4 linked regions of the Schizosaccharomyces pombe genome follow. Changing the gene in region 3 together with the main gene of any one other region gives a genetic interaction. Each region holds a gene or a part of one and is shown on either strand. Other genes may lie near its edges. The genes, in order: pku80, paf1, set2 and lsd1.

The links.
Region 1: mutations in set2 (region 3) and pku80 impair growth when combined (synthetic growth defect), as found in Schizosaccharomyces pombe (one study listed by BioGRID).
Region 2: of set2 (region 3) and paf1, changing one enhances a phenotype caused by changing the other (phenotypic enhancement), as found in Schizosaccharomyces pombe (one study listed by BioGRID).
Region 4: mutations in set2 (region 3) and lsd1 impair growth when combined (synthetic growth defect), as found in Schizosaccharomyces pombe (one study listed by BioGRID).

Annotation. Positions count from the first base shown.
Region 1 is NC_003423.3:4,302,512-4,307,334, reverse strand, and holds pku80 (Ku domain protein Pku80 ), read left to right. Parts: upstream 1-1,932; 5' UTR 1,933-1,967; coding exon 1,968-2,096; intron 2,097-2,140; coding exon 2,141-2,195; intron 2,196-2,250; coding exon 2,251-2,317; intron 2,318-2,357; coding exon 2,358-4,194; 3' UTR 4,195-4,312; downstream 4,313-4,823. Other genes in the region: Npr2/3 complex subunit Npr3, read right to left, coding at 1-177, 243-1,306; SPOM_SPBC543.02C (TPR domain protein, DNAJC7 family), read left to right, coding at 4,720-4,823. UniProt on the Schizosaccharomyces pombe protein: Single-stranded DNA-dependent ATP-dependent helicase. Involved in non-homologous end joining (NHEJ) DNA double strand break repair. DNA-binding is sequence-independent but has a high affinity to nicks in double-stranded DNA and to the ends of duplex DNA.
Region 2 is NC_003424.3:1,707,003-1,710,904, forward strand, and holds paf1 (RNA polymerase II-associated Paf1 complex protein), read left to right. Parts: upstream 1-1,779; 5' UTR 1,780-1,819; coding exon 1,820-1,822; exon of another isoform or gene 1,823-1,859; coding exon 1,860-3,227; 3' UTR 3,228-3,345; downstream 3,346-3,902. Other genes in the region: Ino80 complex actin-like protein Arp8, read right to left, coding at 1-103, 148-248; rps1602 (40S ribosomal protein uS9), read right to left, coding at 3,500-3,547, 3,691-3,902.
Region 3 is NC_003424.3:5,407,680-5,412,658, forward strand, and holds set2 (histone lysine H3-K36 methyltransferase Set2), read right to left. Parts: upstream 3,387-4,979; 5' UTR 3,136-3,386; coding exon 739-3,135; 3' UTR 501-738; downstream 1-500. Other genes in the region: SNF2 family ATP-dependent chromatin remodeller Ino80, read left to right, coding at 1-376; spd1 (ribonucleotide reductase (RNR) inhibitor), read left to right, coding at 4,810-4,979. UniProt on the Schizosaccharomyces pombe protein: Histone methyltransferase that trimethylates histone H3 'Lys-36' forming H3K36me3. Involved in transcription elongation as well as in transcription repression.
Region 4 is NC_003423.3:1,015,405-1,020,823, forward strand, and holds lsd1 (histone demethylase SWIRM1), read right to left. Parts: upstream 3,838-5,419; 5' UTR 3,599-3,837; coding exon 596-3,598; 3' UTR 532-595; downstream 1-531. Other genes in the region: tif1102 (translation initiation factor eIF1A-like), read right to left, coding at 1-12, 65-363; protein mug57, read left to right, coding at 4,349-4,918; protein mug97, read right to left, coding at 4,892-5,419. UniProt on the Schizosaccharomyces pombe protein: Catalytic component of the SWM histone demethylase complex that specifically demethylates H3K9me2, a specific tag for epigenetic transcriptional activation, thereby acting as a corepressor.

The sequences.
Region 1 (4,823 bases), on a different chromosome or scaffold from region 3:
TTAAAAAGCTTTGACTCCTCCTCCAAATTAAACAGATTAGCAGTTGGGGATGTAACATAAGTATTCCGGATTAACAAAGGAGGAATAGCGATAGCCTTTCTCCAATGAATAAGGTGTTTTGCTAGAATAAAGCATTCTGATACTGATATTCCTAGACGATTAGCGATATCTGTGAACCTGAAATATTGTAAGTTAGTATTTAATAGCAATAATAAATTTTGTTTAGACTTGACAAAACTTACGTTAAGTTAGGTTTTACTATGGCAATGAAAGAAGAAAGAAGAGAATTTTGTAAAAGAGGAACACGTTTCATTATAGTGTCTGTATCCTTTAAGAGCAACAAAGTCCAATAGGGGGCAACGAAAGGTTCAATAGAGGAAGGATGTTCTTCAGAGAAGATGGTTTGAGATGCTAAAATAGTTGATGGTCTAACCTGCAGTTCGTAATTTTCAAGTGTGTTGGTGGAAACCGACATAGGCCAGAGTAAGCTTAAGTTAATCGATTGATTTATCTCTAAATAAGCCGTATGCATGTTAATTAAAGCCTCATATGTAGTAGCAAGAACCGAAGCAAGATTTGAGTGATGAGGGATTTGAGCGGCATACACATCGAATGGGACGTTTTGGCTTGAATATTTTTCAGTCAGTTTTAAGATGTGTATACACTCATTTTCAACATAATTCCGTTTTGCTTGTTCATATTTAAGTCCAGTAACTAACTTGACTACTATATGATCATACATCGTGTTTACAGTAGGGCGATATACGGTAGCTGTAGGCACATTTAATACAAAGACGACATGAAATAAAGACATTGAAGATCTCGATTTTGATGAAGATGATTTTACTTCAAAACTTCCTGTCGAAGGGTGTGAAGATTCGGGCTTTGATACCAAATGGCTCGAAGAAGCATTAGACTCAACAGTAGTTCGTGGTTTCCTTCGTTTAGCCCACTCACCGTTCGGACCAATATGAACAGGACATCCCAAAAAAGTAAGACCATCCACCCAAATTTCAAATTTTTGATTGCAAAGTTCAATACGAGGACTTAGCATATTTGCGAGAAAGCCTTTTTCATAACCAAGTACATGTGTATCGTCAGCTACTTCAGTAAACCTATTATTCTCATCATCATCGCTGTCATCAAGGTCGAGCATCCCGATTGCAGACTCCGCTGAATCATTATTATGATGAGTGGCTTGTAGACGTACTTGAGGTTGTAGCGGCCAGTGAAAGACGAAATTAGCTCCTGATGTTGTTTTTTCAACAAGGAAAATGGCTACTAATCGAGGAGTTAAGCGTACCATTTTGGCGTTTTAAAACAAAGTATAAATGTGTATGTTCGATAATTGAAGTACATATGTGTGTTTTTTAATATATTTTTCACAACAGAAAACCAAATATCACCTTAAACATTATACCTCAAGGGGGTGGTATCGTTTTCTGGTAATTTGCGTGTAGTACGAAAGATTTGTGAGCGATATGCATCTGGCAGCTCGGTGTTTTAATCGCCTAGTACAAAACTAATAAGATCTAACATGAATAGTTAAACTGAATGTTAACTAATTATTGACATCTTGAGATATGAGTTCACGGCTTTGTAAATTAATGTGTGAATTGAAAGTAAAAGCATCGCTATGCAAAATTTCTAATGTGCGTAAAACCTTAGCAACTTTAATAGCTCCAATTCAATTCTCAAGAGTTTCTGATTTAAGTTATAAAAATGAATTGACTAATTTATATACAATGTTTTGGGTTATTTACATTTCAGTCACATGTGCATTTGCACATATGCTGCTGGACTTACTGTTAATGTAGTATATTCATACCGCGAAGAAAATACCTGAATCATTTAAAATGACCGTGTAATTGATATCTAACTGTTGAAAGCATCGGAGGCCCCAATGTTCTACAACAAATCTCACCTTGCTTTGACCTCCACCAAATCTGTATTCCTTAACAATTCGTATGAGTGATAAGGAATGTACTGTTTTTGTACTTGACTTGGGCAAAGATATGGGGACCTGTCACCATGGCAGGTCTCATTCTGATCTCGAATGGACTTTGTCGTATTTTCACGACGAATTGTCTCATAAGGTATTTTGCTCAACATTATCGACACCCTATTGACACATACTCAGTTTTTAGCAAATAGGAAGACAGACGTAGTTGGAATCGTTGGTTACAAATGCGATGGTATTCTATTGTAATGTTTTAAAGGTACACTACTTCTAACTTTTACGGTGTTTAGATACGAAAAATGATTTAGCTGAGCAGGAAGCCTATTGGAATATCAGTGTTTTGTATCCTATACAAACGTAAGCTTTCTCTTAAATGCTCCATTAACTTCTTAACTAGTGCCTTATTTTCAAAGCTACAATCCGTTTCTCAAACGTTAAAACCAAGCAATACTATGCAAGGCGATCTGATATCTGCAATAGTTGTGTCCTTTGATTTGATGGCTCGGCATTGTAAAAAGAACAAATGGAAGAAGAAGATGATAGTGCTTACGGCAGCTAGGGGGATTATCGACTTTAGTGATTACATTGGAATTGCCGAACAACTACTGCAGCATGATGTTTTTCTAGGTGTTTATGGAGTTGATTTTGATCAAGAAGATATTAATTATTCTGAGCCTTTAAAGGAATCTCAGAAAAAGGAAAACGAAGTTCGAATTCAAGAGTTTGTTGAGAGTTGTCATGGTCAGTACTGCACATTTCAACAGATTTATAACAACATCGGTAAACCTTGGGTTCGTAAAGTGAGACCTGTCGCAATCTTTAGAGGTACATTTAGTATTGGTAATAGAGACAGCAAAGATACGTCTATAAGCATACAGGTTGAAAGATATCCTAGAACTCGTTTAACTAAACCGCCAACATCATCTGCTTTTTATGAAAACGATATGTCTAAAAATTATGAATGTCTTAATATCGAAAATTCAAATGTGGAAAACAAAAGTATGGAATCTGATGCAGTGTCTACTGTTCGATCGTACATGGTTCGTGATCCAAAAACAAACGATTCTTTTGAGGTTAAAAGAGAAGACTTGGAAAGCGGTTATAGTTATGGTAGGACAATCGTCCCGATCAGCCGATCAGATGAAGACGTATTGGCTTTAGATACAATACCCGGTTATGAAATCCTTGGATTTATTCCTAAATCTAGTCTTCCAATTTATTATACCATTAGTGATACTAATATAATCGTTCCAAAAGATGACTTCGAAAGCAAATTAAATTTTTCTGCCTTTGTTCAATCCCTTGAACGTGAACACCGATATGCGCTCGCAAGGTTTGTTTCTAAAGATAAGGGCGTACCAGTTTTGCTGGTCTTGATGCCTTACGTGGAGTTTAAAAGACATTACTTGGTTGATATACAACTTCCATTCGCTGAAGATGTTCGGCCTTATTCTTTCTCAGAGTTCGAGAAACTGTCAAATGAAGAGGATATGCGACAAATTGATTTTGCCGTAAGTAATTATATCGATAATATGGATTTAGATTCCTCTGATTGTGGGTTCAATCCTCCTTTTGAGCCCGAAAATACCTTTAGTATGATACCACATAGACTTCAACAAGCTATCAGTTATTATGCAAATTCACCAGAAGGCGATCTTCCTCAACCAAATATTTACTTAACACGTTACACCAATCCTCCAAAAAGTTTACTTGATAATTGCATTTTGGACTTGAAGTTGATTAAGGAAAAACTTACAGTGAACGTCCCCGTCAAACCAAAATATTCTTCTCAAGAAACAGCCTTCGACACAGGCGCCCCAATATCAGAGGAACAAATAGAAGAACTACTAAATTCTGGTCTCGATGAACAGGAAGGAGAAAAATTATTAGTCCTTCACGTTAGTGAAAAAGACCCAGTAGGCACTTTCACTGAAGTTTTGAAAAACCCTTTTGGACTAGAGGATGCTTTGACAGAAATGGAAAAAGTAATTAAAAATCTTATTGACAAGTCTAAGTACGATCTTGCTTTGCAGTCATTGCAATCTCTCAGGTTACACTCAATTTTGGAAGACGAAGTTGAAAGATTTAATGAGTATCTTACTCGATTGAAAAAGGACGTAATGCAAAATAACAAACCCAAGGAGAATGAGCTTATTAACAAAATAAGATCATCTGGATTAGATATTATTCTCCATGATGAATTGACTAGACATGATAATTTTAATAACATTTAGCATAGGACAACAATGACTTGTCTTACTCGAACATAAATAAATAAATTTTATTAAATACTTGCAATATTTTTTTTACTTTTATCCAAATTTCTAATAAAAATTTTTAAGTCATGAATCCGCTATTTATTAGCATATAGAATACACGGTCGCAAAAATAGAAAATAGTTTTAACTTAAGTAGTTTAGGTAAACATACCTATGATATTTCAGAAAACACAACTATCGTTTAAAAACTTGGTGAGAGTTCCTTGCATTTTTTTATTTATATTCTATCTTTCACAATTACATTATTCAAAGAACATTTTAGACTTACTTTCACGAATTGGACAAATATCGGGGACATGCTTAAGGAGCTACAGCAGTGTTCCTTATTAGTGATACTAAAATTTAATAGTTTGGTCGTATCTATTTACCTACCACTGACTTTTTGATCTGTTACGCTTCGGCGATTGGAAAGCGTTCCTGAACTTTCTGTCATTTTAAATAAAATTTAAATTTTTTAAATATTTAAATTAATTCGATCAAAATGACTGAAGTCGAAACCACACACATGAATGCAGGTACAGAGAGCCAACAAGAGCCTGCTGAGCTAGCTGAAAAGCAAAAGGCTATAGGAAACGCTTTCTATAA
Region 2 (3,902 bases), 3.7 Mb from region 3:
CTTCGTGTCTCCATTAGCAGATTCCGACTCTGTTTCTTTAGCGTCTTTCTCTCCAGCGGAGTCTCGCCATATATACATTTGGTCATCCCTTTTGAGATATTCACTATTTTGGTTAATTTAAGGACTAAACAAGCGAATTGCACACACGTGTAAAAGTTCTTTTGATTGATAGGAGGAACAATTTGAAATTGAGTAAATTTAAAATCGATTCCCTCCTCCGTGTAGGGTTGTTTTCTTTTCGGAGCCATCGCTTTAAATCACAGGGCTTGAAAAGGAAATTTCGTTACGGTGTAGTTGGGCCAAGTCGTGTTGGTTACTTTGCGAAACTTGACATGATTAAAGGATGTGCGTGTGTAGGTAGGAATGAATTGCGACAAAGAGGAATTTTAAAAGAAGAAAGTGATACATTACAATTTAACTCATTTATTCATGCCTAATTAAATAAGTATGAAAAATGCCAACTTGAAAACTCTATTTGACTCCACATCCTATGTACTTTAAAAGCTTACAGTTTGTAGTTAGAGTTGTTTAAATTGGATGTGATGTTTTTGTGAAGAGACACAGATTATATTTCGTATTTTTTCACTTTCAATCACTTCTTTGTTTTCTACTTTGAATTGTTTCCTGGGTGAAGAGTGCAATGACTGTTACTGTAAGAACAATTGGCATATGTTAACGTTTCAAGGACTTTTGTATTTTATTTTCTCTTGTTAAAGATTACACATTACTCAACTTGAATTGTATTAGACACGGGAATTAACTAATGAAGCTACATTGGAATATGAATGATGTAAAACGAAAAAAGAAGACACATGTACAAGATTTACACTGTACTTGGTTCTTTTAATTTTTTAAATTTTAATAATAATTATTAAAGTACAAACAGCTATGAGATGGATTGATGTTAAGTCTATATTGTTATATACATGAACAAGTGTTGAAAACCGTTGATAAAATAAGTTATCGAATTGTATAAAAAATATATACATATATGTAATAGTAAAGCAACTCCCTGAGAATGCAAGCAGTTTATGGCTTTATTAACTAACAGTCCATTCACCTATTAAATAAAGATATGCGTAAACAATTCAGAACTTGGACCATGAACTTCTACATTGCTACATTTATCTGTCTTTATAAATTAAGTAAAAATTGAGAAGAATTTGGTTGTGTTTATTAGCACTTTTATTCAATGATTTTAGCTAGTATTCTTTTTTTACAAATTTTTAATTTAATTTTTGCTCATGGTCTCTTAGATCTCAACAAAATTGACTGTATAGCAAGAACGATGAAATTTCTTTAATAAACTAGATTAGGCAAGCATTCATTAATCAATTTTGGATTGCTTTTTATTTAGTTGGGTTATTTTATCTGTAGTAATCAACATACAAAATAGTTGAAAATTTGCTTACCAAAAAATCATCGAATTTACTTGTTACAATGATATAATGAAATTGGACTACAGTGAGTGAACATCGTATAATGCTAAAAGAAAAGGCGATTTCAATAGGTGATACAATCGACGCAAAATCCTTAACATCCATAATGATGCATGCATAAATACTGGGATTTTAGAATTCGTACAATAAAAATGATTAATCGTCTATTAGTGAATCCTCGGCTTTAGGGAATTGCGATCTTACACGTTATCATTTCTAACATCAGTACTATGGATTTCTTTTAATTAATTAACGAAAATGAGCAATTTATAACGTACTTCATACCGGTGCGAAGATTAGACGCTCGTTTCCAATTTAGGGTGATGCTAGGAAGTTATATGGGAACGTGATCTCCTTGGGTATTTGTGGAAAACACATCAATGGTAAGAACTAGACTTGAAAAACAGACTAATCAAGCAGGAAAATAGGAGGCAAGATTATATTTTGAGGGTTAGATACCATAACCCTCTTCCTCCTCCGCCGTTTCCTCCAAAATTGATCAATATACCTAATCCAGTAAAGCAGTATGCCTTACCAAATTTTGTATCAACTTTAGTTCAAGAAAAAAAGATTCCCATTGAAAATGATATTGAATTGGGAATGCCGCTTGATTTGGCCGGAATAACTGGATTTTTTGAAGGAGATACCAGCTGGATGCATTCGGATCTATCAAGTGTTAATTTGGATCCTATTGACCGTTCATTATTAAAAGTTGCAGGAGGCTCTGGATCCACGCACCTTGAGGTACCTTTCTTGCGACGCACCGAGTACATATCTTCAGAAGTGGCACGTGCTGCTTCCAATCGGGGAAATTTACGACTTACAGCATCTACTAGTAAAGCATTGGCTGAACAACGTGGCCGTTCGCTTCGCGAGGTTCCCAAACAACTTGAAGCTATTAATGAGAGTTTCGACGTTGTGCAACAACCGTTAGAACAATTGAAGCATCCTACCAAGCCTGATTTAAAACCCGTATCAGCCTGGAACTTGTTGCCAAATACTTCAATGGCAGGAATTCAACATTTAATGTTGCGCGTTGCTGACGATTTGTCAGAACGGTCGCATTCTTATAGTTCCTTGGTTAATCTTCAAGAGGGGCACAATCTCACAAAACGTCACGAAGTCGCTCTATTCATGCCTTCTTCTGCAGAGGGTGAGGAATTCTTATCCTACTACTTACCTTCAGAAGAGACAGCGGAAGAGATACAAGCTAAAGTTAATGATGCTTCTGCCGATGTTCATGAACCATTTGTTTATAATCACTTTCGTAATTTTGATGCTTCTATGCATGTCAATAGCACAGGGCTTGAAGATCTTTGTTTGACGTTTCACACAGATAAAGATCATCCTGAAGCTAACCAAGTTTTATACACACCTATTTATGCTCGTTCTACCCTAAAGCGCCGTCATGTTCGTGCTCCAGTCAGTCTTGATGCTGTTGATGGTATTGAGTTGAGCCTTCGTGATTTGAATGACGAGGAATCGTTGCAGCTGAAGCGTGCCCGATATGATACATTTGGTTTAGGAAACATAAAAGATTTAGAAGAAGAGGAGGAGAAACTAAGAAGTGTCGAGGGCAGCCTCAATGAGGAACTCTCTGAAGAAGAGAAACCTGCGGAATCTCGTGAACAACTAGAATCTGCTGAACAAACTAATGGAGTTAAGCCTGAAACACAAGCTCAGAATATGTCGGCTTCCGAGTCGCAAGCAAATTCCCCTGCACCACCAGTAGAAGAAGGGAATACACAGCCTTCGCCAGTTGAACAGCTACAAAATGAAGAGGATTAATCGTTTCATGTTTGAAAATGAAACATTATCCTAAACAAATAAATGATCTAATCGTGTCTTTCATGCAGCATACCCTTGTATATACAAAACAATGAAATAACACTTTAACCTTCGCAAATGAATTTTGTATAAAACTATATACATAAAGAAGTTGTAAAACTATCGTATAAAAATTCATATTGCATATTACGCGTGGAAGTTCGACTATTTTACACAATTTACAATTCTACGACTAAATGACAGTTGCTTTGGAAAACCAATAATATTTTCTCTTAACGGTAAGATTTTTGTTGACGAGCACGAGCACCGTGACCACCGAACTAGAAACAGTTAGTATAAAAATACAAAAACACAGTGAATATAGACAGGCAACCAAATGCTTCAGTAGACAAAGCACAAAAAAGCTTAAATGCGTTATGTCCAAAACTAAATAAAGTTGCTTGAAATTCAATAATAAACAAACCTTCTTGGGCTCCATACGACGAGGATCAGCAACTAACAAAGTACGGTCATAAGTAATGAGAGCCTTCTTGAGTTCAGCCTTAGAGTGCTCATCAACGAACTTTTGGTAGTAAGCAACGATGGCCTTGGAGATGGCTTGACGGATAGCATAGATTTGAGAAACATGTCCACCACCAGAAACACGAACACGGATATCGACGCCGGCAAACTTGT
Region 3 (4,979 bases):
AATTAGTCAACGTCGAGATATGGTTACAGAATGGCAAACACGGCCCGAACTCTTTGTATTTCTACTTTCAACAAGGGCAGGTGGTTTGGGTATTAACTTAACTGCCGCTGATACTGTTATTTTTTATGATTCAGACTGGAATCCTAGTATTGATAGTCAAGCCATGGATCGAGCTCATCGTATCGGTCAGCAAAAACAAGTCACCGTTTACAGATTTATTACTCGTGGAACCATTGAAGAACGGATTGTTATACGTGCTAAAGAAAAGGAGGAAGTACAAAAAGTGGTTATTTCAGGTGGAGAAACTCGGCCAACTAAACAAATGGACCTTAAGGGTAACTCAAGAGAAATGGTTTCATGGCTATTAGAAGAATAAATGGTGTGTGTATAGCTAAAGTTTCGTTAACCCGTTTTATTAAAAATTACTTAACCTAATAGTACATCAATTTTTGCATGGAATTTAATTAGCTAAATATTAACCTATTAATCAAAATGCTATACCGGTCCAGTCCAGGGTTATATAATTAGATGAAATGTTGTAAACAGTCGACGTGCATTTAGACACAAATACGGCTTCTATGTCTGGAAATTAAAGATTGTATTTAAAAAAAAAAATAGTATTAAAATATTACATCAAGGAAGAAAAAAAAAACTAGACACCAGGTATTAAAGACATGCAATATTTGGAACTATAGTATGGTAGACGTTGCTACTTGTCGCAGTTAAAAATACTGGCGATTAAGCAGCTTTTTTCGGGGATTCGCCAATACTGGGTGAATCTGTAGGAGTTGTAGTCGCAGTGCCAGAACGCGATACAACTGTGTCCAAATATCGAAATGCCCAAACTCTCAGCTTTCGCTGCTGAGAGTCTGATAATTCATCTGGTAAAGCTTTTTCTTTTTTGGATAGAACTAACTGAATATGCTTTTTCAAGATAATTTCAGTCATTTTCTTTACTCTCAATTTAAATTCAGCTTTACCAAGCTTCTCTTGGTATCTAGCTGTTTTGTTAGCAAAAAATTTTGCCAAAACTGCCTTAAAAGCAATGCTTTCAGGACTATGCGAAGTTAAATGATGATCAATTGTGGCATCCTGAGAGCTTTTCGTCTTCTTTTCATGCAACTTTTTGGCATGTCTTTTCAAACTTTCTTCGTAAGCAAGACGTCTCTTTTCTTCTCTTTTCTGCTGAGCTATTCTTTCTTCTTCCTCCTTCTGTGCCTTCAACACATTTTTCTGATTGACACTCTCCATTGCCGCTGAAATAATCTTGTTTAAATCTACTTTATTAGCTTGATTGCTGACTTGTTCTTGCTCATTATTTGGTGTAGTTGTTTCAGAAGGAGTGTCAGAGTTAGAAAGACGACGACGTTTAGGGAAAGAATTTTTACGAAAAAGGTTGTGTTTTGAATGGCTTTGATAGTCATTTCCAAACTTGGAACGTGAACGACTATCACTAGGCCTAGAAGAATGTAATGCTGGATGTTTCTTGCTCAAATCTTCTGTTGAATTATTGATTGCAGATTTTATATCTCCCTTATCGCCACGTTGTGGTTCCTGATCCCTTAAAGGAGGATTACTTTGATTATTGGAGGGTTCTGCGTTCGTTGACTGTGGAGCAACTTGACCAGGCTTCCTTCGGGGAATTCGATAAGCTATCTCCAAAGATTCCCATTCTTTTAAAAGAGTTTTGGCATGATCTTTGACCTCCTCGTTCTCATGGTCGCAAAACTCTTGAACAACGGGCTCAATATTTGAATCTTGGATTTTATTTCTTGTTAGGCGTGGCCAAGATAACATGGTTTTTATAGAACGTAGTATAAACTCAATATCAATGCTGAACTTCTTCAGCATCAAACCAAAAATGTTGTAACCACGTAACGCAATGATCGAACGGCATACACTAGGATCTGAAGTCAAGAAAATGCGTTCCATTAACTTTCTTGTTAATAAGTCATCCTTAGTTTGCAGGAGAACGCCAATCACTTTAGTAGCAGACTCAGATGTCAGAGGAGTAGGTTGCACCTCTTCAATAATTTTGCTAGTTTCGTCAATTCCCTTTTTACGACGTTGTCGACGTGCAGTGATGTTTTCCCAGCTATCCTCTTCATCTTCAATACCAAGAGCCTCTCGGACATTCTCAGGTAGTTTCGATTGAGCCTCAGTTTGCGTCTTTCCGCCAATATACCCTACACAGCAAGGTTCTCCGCAATAACAAGGTTGGGCTTGTGCACCATATCTATCGACATTATAGTCAAAAGTAAGCTCTTCACCGCGAATAATATCTCTTTTACAAAATATACCCATTCTTAGCTTATCTCCTACCATCCATTTATCAACATAACAATTAGGTCTACAAGAGTGATTGCAAAATCTTGCGAGCGACCCCCTTTTAGTAGCATCAATATATTCCCCCTTTTGCAGCATCATGAAGTAAAAGTGTTTAATTCCCTCACTATCGTATTGTCGCATACGTTTACGAAACTTTTGTTCAGGTATAACTTCTCCAATGTATTCGTAGACAAATGTGTCTTTGGGTAAATTGGCATCAGCGCGCAAACCAAACCCTTTCTTTTCGGTTAAGAAAACATCCACCTTTGCAAATTCATGTCTTTGAAAGCGTTGGTTTTGACAGGATGGTCCACAAACGTTATCTTCGTCCGTACACTCTATAGAAGTCATTCTATTAATACAATTGGATCCGTGCCCACAAGCAACATTAACTCCATCTACCCAATGAGGCCGACAATCGCAAATCATAGCTTCGTTTTCTGGAGGCTTACCAATATTGGCGGAAGCATACTGACATTCTTGAATCTCTTCGAACGTAGTTAGCGCCTTATCTTTCGCAGAATCCAGGTGATGAAAAAGTTGAGGAGGAAGTGCCTCTTTTCTAACATATTTGCTTTGAGACCGAGAGGATGCAGACGATGGCGAGGACGTAGAAGGGGAAGGAGCACTTTCGTCTTTATTCATCCCTTCGGCATCCTCTTTACTTTCGAAATCATGAGATGACGAAGAAGATGGTGATGAACCGACTGCCTGGACAGCGATTGTGTCTTTTGACCAAGAAGACTTCCTATCAACGTTTTCCTCATTCAAAGGAGTTAAAACAGAAAGAGATGATGCCGTCTGCATTGTATGATAATGGACAAAAAGAAAGAGAAAGTTAAAAAATCTACAGTTTTATTGAACAAAAAGTAATTGCCGAAGGAAGCCAAAACAATAGAAAGAAGACCAGCTGAAATTTCACCGAAAATCTTCTTTTTAGAAAATTTCCGAAAATATCTCGATGCGTAACATATAGATCTTCTAACGTTTCAAAGTTTCGTGTCAAAGAAACAGTGAGATCAGGAAATTGTCTCAAGGAAGAAGTTGTGGCTGTTGGCGGCGTTCCTTCTTTACTCGCGGAATCCTCGTAGGGGCTCACAGTACCGGAGTGTAAACGACAACTCTTGACTTTAGTGTTAAATATTAAAGAAACCTATTAAAAGAAAAGGCTTTAAAATCTTTACTTTCATTTCATTCAAGCATCTACAAAAAATCACCATCACGCGCAACATTTGAATGCCATTCTTTTCCAGAAATTCCATAATAGTTGTTGAAGAAATAACACTGTTAGTGTAATAAAATTCACTCTGTTTTTTACACTCGGCGCCTTATGTAGCGAATATCTTTGAATTAATAATATCAATCATACTATGTAACTGTAGTAGGTTGTTTATCCAAAAAACATATGGTACGCAAAGATAGACACTAATTATCAACAATGAATGAATAAGAAAAGCTTTTTCAACGAATATTTTGAGTGAGGCAGTCAGCGTGCTCATACTGGATAGACCCAGAACAAGTAAGTTTACAATATGTTCAATTTACAAATCCAAGCATGTGGTATTGAATTATATTTGGTATTCTTTTTGTTCCCTTGGTCTTATTAATGTAAAATCATCATCTACCTGCATCTATTGAAGCAGTAATTAAACAGAAGTTTGAGAATCGGTAAAGAAAGAAACTAGGAATGTATGTAATAAAGTCATTTTATTTTGAAAATGCTCATCCTGTTAATTCTAGGTAGATTCTTTATTTCTTCAAACCCAACCACTTTTGTTAATATTGTTTAAACACATAATATATACATTGGCGAAATTGAAATAATGCTAAAATTTTGTCAGAGCATTAGTCATTGTTAATTTTAAAAAGCTATTAAACAAAAATAAAGGCTAAGAAAAAAAGATAAACCTATTCCATATGTTTATATATGTGTATCTTATCTTAAAAGGTCTTTAACTCAAGCTATACTTACTACAATCTATATGCAGCTACTTGTCCTTCATGGCACGACGGTGCCAGTAAAGTTAATAAGAAAACCATACCGAACAGGGGCCAAGTTACGATGAGACAACATGTGAAGAACAAAGGAAGAAGCGATTTCAAGCTTTGCAAAAGGTTTGACCAAATTTAACGAACAAACGTTTCAGCTGTTACCTTGAAAGCAGTTGGCAATAAAAGAGAAAGCGAATTTAATTGCTTTAAATGTTTTACTTTAACTCTTAGATATAAAGAGTGCGGAAAAAGTGGCAGAACCACAAGAAAACAAGATCTCAATCGCAAAAGCAATAAAACTGCAATTCCAAATTTTGTAGATTTTCTACCATTTATGAATAACGTGGGTTAGTGAAATGTAAAGAGATCCGTGTTCGATAGGCATTCCCCAGACAAATTTGACTGCTTTAAACGTCACAAAGCCGAGTAGCAAACGCTCCCACAACCAAACACTACACAAAGGTTCGTCGACAATTTATTTTGGAAAAAATGCACAGCAGCAAGCGAGTTATGACCACAAAGACTCATGTTGAGCAGCCTGAGTCTTCAATGCGTCCTCAGCTTCCCGAAAGCATTCAAGGCTCCTTAATGGACGTGGGAATGCGGGTTCGTAAATCAATTTCCACCGGATACAAGTCGAAACAAACCACGTTTCCTGC
Region 4 (5,419 bases), on a different chromosome or scaffold from region 3:
AACTCTTTAGGCCTTTAAACTAGTTAGCACAATCATCTAATGTTATTTCAAGAGAATTTCTTACCAATAAATTTGTTTTTTCCAATTTTTTAAAGGGCTTTGTACCACGTACAATATAGTACCGTCAATTTTATTGTCCTTCTCTAAAAACTCAGATTTATCAACTATTACAAACCCATTTCTCCTAACCCATATTTTATTACGATACTTTGGAGGCATCTCAACAAGTAATTCCTGTCCATTGTTTTCTACTACCATAAAAAGCGCAGATCCTTTAAGTTGCACAACTTTGGCGACGACTTGATCTTTTTCCAACCTAGCTGGTGGATCAAACGAAATTTGACCGCCATATTTTTTTGACATATTAGTATTTCTCTAAAGAGCTCGTATATATGTGATAACCAAGCAAATCGTAGAGAATTGGGTTTATGGTGGTTAGGAAGCTTCGACAAGTGGATTTACAAGATGATATGCATTTCATAAATGTCATTCCTTTCTATGAAAAAATAAAATTTAGTATACCATTATAACTTAAACGTAAAAATTGATCTTTATCTCATATAAACTACCCTTAAAAAAAAACTTTAAATGAAGCTCATGAGAAATTGTCAGGGAATACTTCACTTATTGAATCCTCATAATCTAAATCATCATGATAATCATCATCACTATTTTCAACGGACATGCCCTCTTTTTCAGGATGTAGATGTTCGTCCTCTTGTTCAGCAAGTAATTTTAACTTAGCCTCATCTTCAGGAATTGGTTGAGATTCACATCTTCGCTGATGTTCGGATTTAATTTGGGCAACTCTCACATTGTAGGAATTAATTTGACGTTGATACTCTTCCAGGCGAGTTGAATAATTTGCTCGTCTCGCGTTAATTTCATCAACCCATGGTTGTTTACCTAAACTATCCAAGGCTCGCCATGTCTTTCCCAATTTTGCACGTATCTCATTTTTTGTGGCACGTGCTTCAGGATCGCCAGTAACTCTTTGTTTATCCTGATCTGCTAGAGTTTTACAAACGTGCCATTGAGTTTTTTGGTACAAAAGGTAAGGATTAGCACTAGGCCTTGATGGTGGAACAGGAGACGGTCCCAATAATTCGGCAATTAGTAAATCACATTCTTGCTGTTCTTTATCAAGTCTTTTTTGTCTCAAGCGTAAATACTCGGTATGGTATGAAATGCGCTTTTCCTTATTTTCTCTTTCTCCCTCTTTGCCTAAAGCTTGTTGAGCATTTCGCTTCGTGCCGTACGTTTTACGGGGTTGTTCCAAGTTTTCCTCAATAACGAGAGTGTTAGGTAAAACAACATTGCCTATTAACGAAGCCAAAACATCTCTAGCAGCCAGTATGCCCGAATCAAATGCGCCGCGTATCGAACCTGAATTTTTTTGGGAAATTGCTTCACTAGCAAAAAACACAGTATTGTCAATGGGCTCAGACAATATTGCATAATCCTCTTCCAAAAACAAATTGGATATTTGATATGATGAGTGATTTGTATAAGAATTATTCTCCCAGTTACTGATAATCGTTCGAATAGGATTTATGGCTTCTGATTTCGGTTTATAAACTTTTTTAAGTTGAGATACAATCCCATTCACTATATCATCATCCTTCATAAAGTCGATCCCTTCAACCTTCACAAAGACTGATAATGTGGGATGTTCGTAAAATCGAGTGCAATCGTTAAATATAAAGTTTCTACCTGAATCTTGTGGTAGTGAACCAAATATACTTATGTTTGGTTCCCAGAATTGGGTTTTAAAAATGAGGATAACCTTTTTCACATTGGTAAAATGACATCTATCAATAGCCTTTAGCTTCTTTTCTTCGAGAGGCGGCTCGAAGGTAATCAAATGGGTATTCAGCTTGTCCATAGGTATACATATAACCACTTTATCGACTGAAACTGTTGTTTCATTTACAAATGATAAGTTAACCGTATTATCTTCTAGCTTTACAGTATGGACACACTGGTCAAAAAGAATTGGAAGTGGAGAAGGTGTTGAAGCAAGGGAGTTTAGCATATCCGCCATTCCATGTTTGAAGGAATATGAAGCGACATTTTCACCTAATAATAAATTCAGGTTTGGAATGCTTCCCGGATAAACATTTTCAAGAGAAACAGAGAGTGATTGTGAAAGGTATTCCTTAAACCATTCAAAAATTTTTAAATCTAAAACAGTAAGATGCAATAAAGAAGTGAGGGTGTTAGCCGAATTACCAAGAAATTCAGACAAAGTGTCCTTTATTTGTAAAGGAAAGGCTTCAATTGAAATATACCAACCAATTTGGTCAAGCTTTTGAATGAATTCTTGCTCAGGAGGAGTAATCAACGAATGAAGGGGCTGTTTACTAGCTGAAGCATTGAAATAAAAAAGTAAAGCATCAAATAAACGAAAAATACGTTGAACATGTTCGGTATCAATTCTTCCATTTTCGATATCATGTAAGATAAACTCTCTATTTCTAGTATGTACTGCATCTAACGAAAGCTGTTGTGAGGAAATTATGTATAAGGGGTCACTGTCGAGCGTGGGCATTCCGATTAAAGAATCGGTCAATAAGTTAACCATACATTCATTTGTGGCATTCACAGTTGTAGCTAGAGAACTTTTTTCACTAACTTCATTATCACTCAATGGAACCATATGGGTATAGATATGGCCACCCAAACGTTCACTAGCTTCGTATATAACTATGCGAGGAGGTTTTTCTCCCCGGCTTAAGAAATCTTGCTCATATTGAGCAAATAGGTTGGTTAGCTGGCGAGCACAAGATATTCCTGCCATGCCTGCGCCTATAATAGCAACAGTTTTTTGGGAAAGAGATTCATCTAATTTTAGGGAGGATATAATATATATACACCCATAGTTTATGTGACCGTTACGAGACAAAAACTCAAATGCCAGAGAAGCCAGTGGAAATGCTTTTTTTTCACGAACAATACCAAGAGCTTCATTAAATGATACATAAAGAGTCGGGTTTCTATGCCAAAGGTAACAAATGCCATTTCGTATACTTAAATAAAGAGAAAGCCATGTCGGATTCTCAAGGATTTCAGAAAGCATCTCAGCTTCTAGAGGCGAGAGAGCATTTGGTGGAAGATTACTAGCTATAGCAGATTCATAGCAAAGTCTCTCGAAAGTGACACGCGGTATGGCAGGGATGCTGGATTTAACAGATATAGGAGCCTCCGCGGAAACATAGCGCGTACCATTTCTTTCAAGAGAATTAGAAGTATTTAGAGCTGGTCGACCTCTACGACCAGCAGGTCTACGCCCTTTTATAGGTAATTTTTGCAAAGATAGCACCTCCTGGGATTTTTCTAAAGCTGATGGCTTTACTTGGGATAAACCGTTGATATTCGTTGGAATAGAGGCTTTAGAAACAGTCTCAGACACGGGTCTCTCACTCAATTGACTCAAATCAAATATTTCCTGCTCAACGGAGACACTTTCGTTACCTCCTTCATGTACATTGTCAGAAGATTGGTGACCAAATATGGCCCACAACGAAGGGTCAGATGATTGTGCGTGCGTATCTTTTAAAACGTCCGAAAGAGCATCTTTCGAAGACAAATCCATCATTTCAACATAATCATTAGACAGAAGCTTTCGTCCATGAGTTGCAAATCGGATTGCCAAAGTTAAAGTGTGTGCTAGGTAAGACGCTGTTAGGCGTACACTCTCCACTTATAAGGAGACTACTTTTTGGGGTACTCACGTAAATTAGATTACTTTGTTTCAATAGCAAAATAGCTTAAGAAAATAACATTAATAAATATTACAAGTGATGGGTTGTGTTATGCGATGTGATATAGTATTATGGTTGAATCATATTTTTTGAACACAATGTTTATGGAACTAATGGTGACAGAAAATAATGAAGATTACCATCTAACCAAACGTCTACAAGTATCTTCTATACATAATAAACTACAATCAAATTGCATAAAGCAGTTGGGTTTAAGAGTGTGTCTAATTACATACATGGTGTAAAAAACAATAGTTTATAATTAGGTAAATATCTATCACTTTTAAGAAAAACTAAGAAAACAAAAAAGTATTAAATTTTAAAAACTTCTTAATCGTGTTTAAAAAAAAAAAAAAAAAAAAAATTGTTATGTCGTAACAACAACCAAAGATCTACCGTTCATCAAATCGTTGTTTTTGTTAAAACAGGCGTTTTTTTCCTCTATTACCAAGTCGCTTACGTTTACAAAATTGGATTATTTAACTTTTGAAAAAAATTAAGTAGTTCTAATTGATGCCAATTGATTTTTTCTTTTTAAGATTACCATTTGTTAAAGCAGTGTGTCTTTAATAACACCCTCCAAAATGATGAAGCTGTTTTGTCTAAACATCTTTCGTTTCCTTTATACTACGAGTTTTATTAGTGCAGTACTCTCTTTTAACCAAAGACCTATCAATATGCAAGAAGTTCGTGAACCAAGGCTCTTTGAATTGCTTGCCGAAACAAGAGATTGCAACATTTTTTCTGAGCTTATAATGCAGTTTCCTGATTATGTTCATCTCTTCCAACAAAAAGATCAGCATATCACTGTCTTGGTCCCTAATGATGCTGCATTTCAACAGTGTAAAGTCAAACCTTGGGCAATTGAATACAAAAATGGAGTTGCCGTTAAATCCACTGACATAGTTCATATTACTGAGCAACAAGCCCAGGACAATATTCTTAAATTTGTCGAGCGCCACATAATTACTTCTTCACCTATTGAATGGAATAATGAATATAAGACAATCGATGGTACAGATGTACATGTTATTAAAAAGGAAGAGGAGATCTATATAAATGAGTCTATTCATGTTCTCTGCCGTAAAAAAGCAAGCAATGGGGAAATGTGGGTACTAAATGCCACTTTATCTACACCAAGTATTCGAGAGTAGATAAAGGAAGCTACCTATACTTCCGATTCCCAAATTGAGTAACATTCCATGTGCGAATGATGGGTCAGAGAGTCTCATCCATAGACCAATAAGTACGGATCCGCCAGCGCTAAATAATAGAAGAGATAAAACCCACATATTTATTTTATATATCGGTATAATTAATAACTCTTCACTTCCACTTGCTTCTATCTGCTCATATCGTTCTGCGACTGTACGACATCCAGGATGTGTATCAATCTTGCGTTCAACTATTTCTCTACGCATCACCTTTTCTGCCCAAGGATTCCACCAATGCTTTCGGCGCAAAACGTATTCGCATTCAGGTCCAAATGAAATTCCTTGTAAAACGTAGAAAATAGATGGTCGATTTTCACTGCTAAAGTATTTTGCATACGCCTCCACTAACTGATTATCGTCGTCTTTATCGAAAGGCAAGTACCATCTCGAATAATGCTTATGGTATAAACAAACTCTAACTTGATTCTCATTTTTACCCGA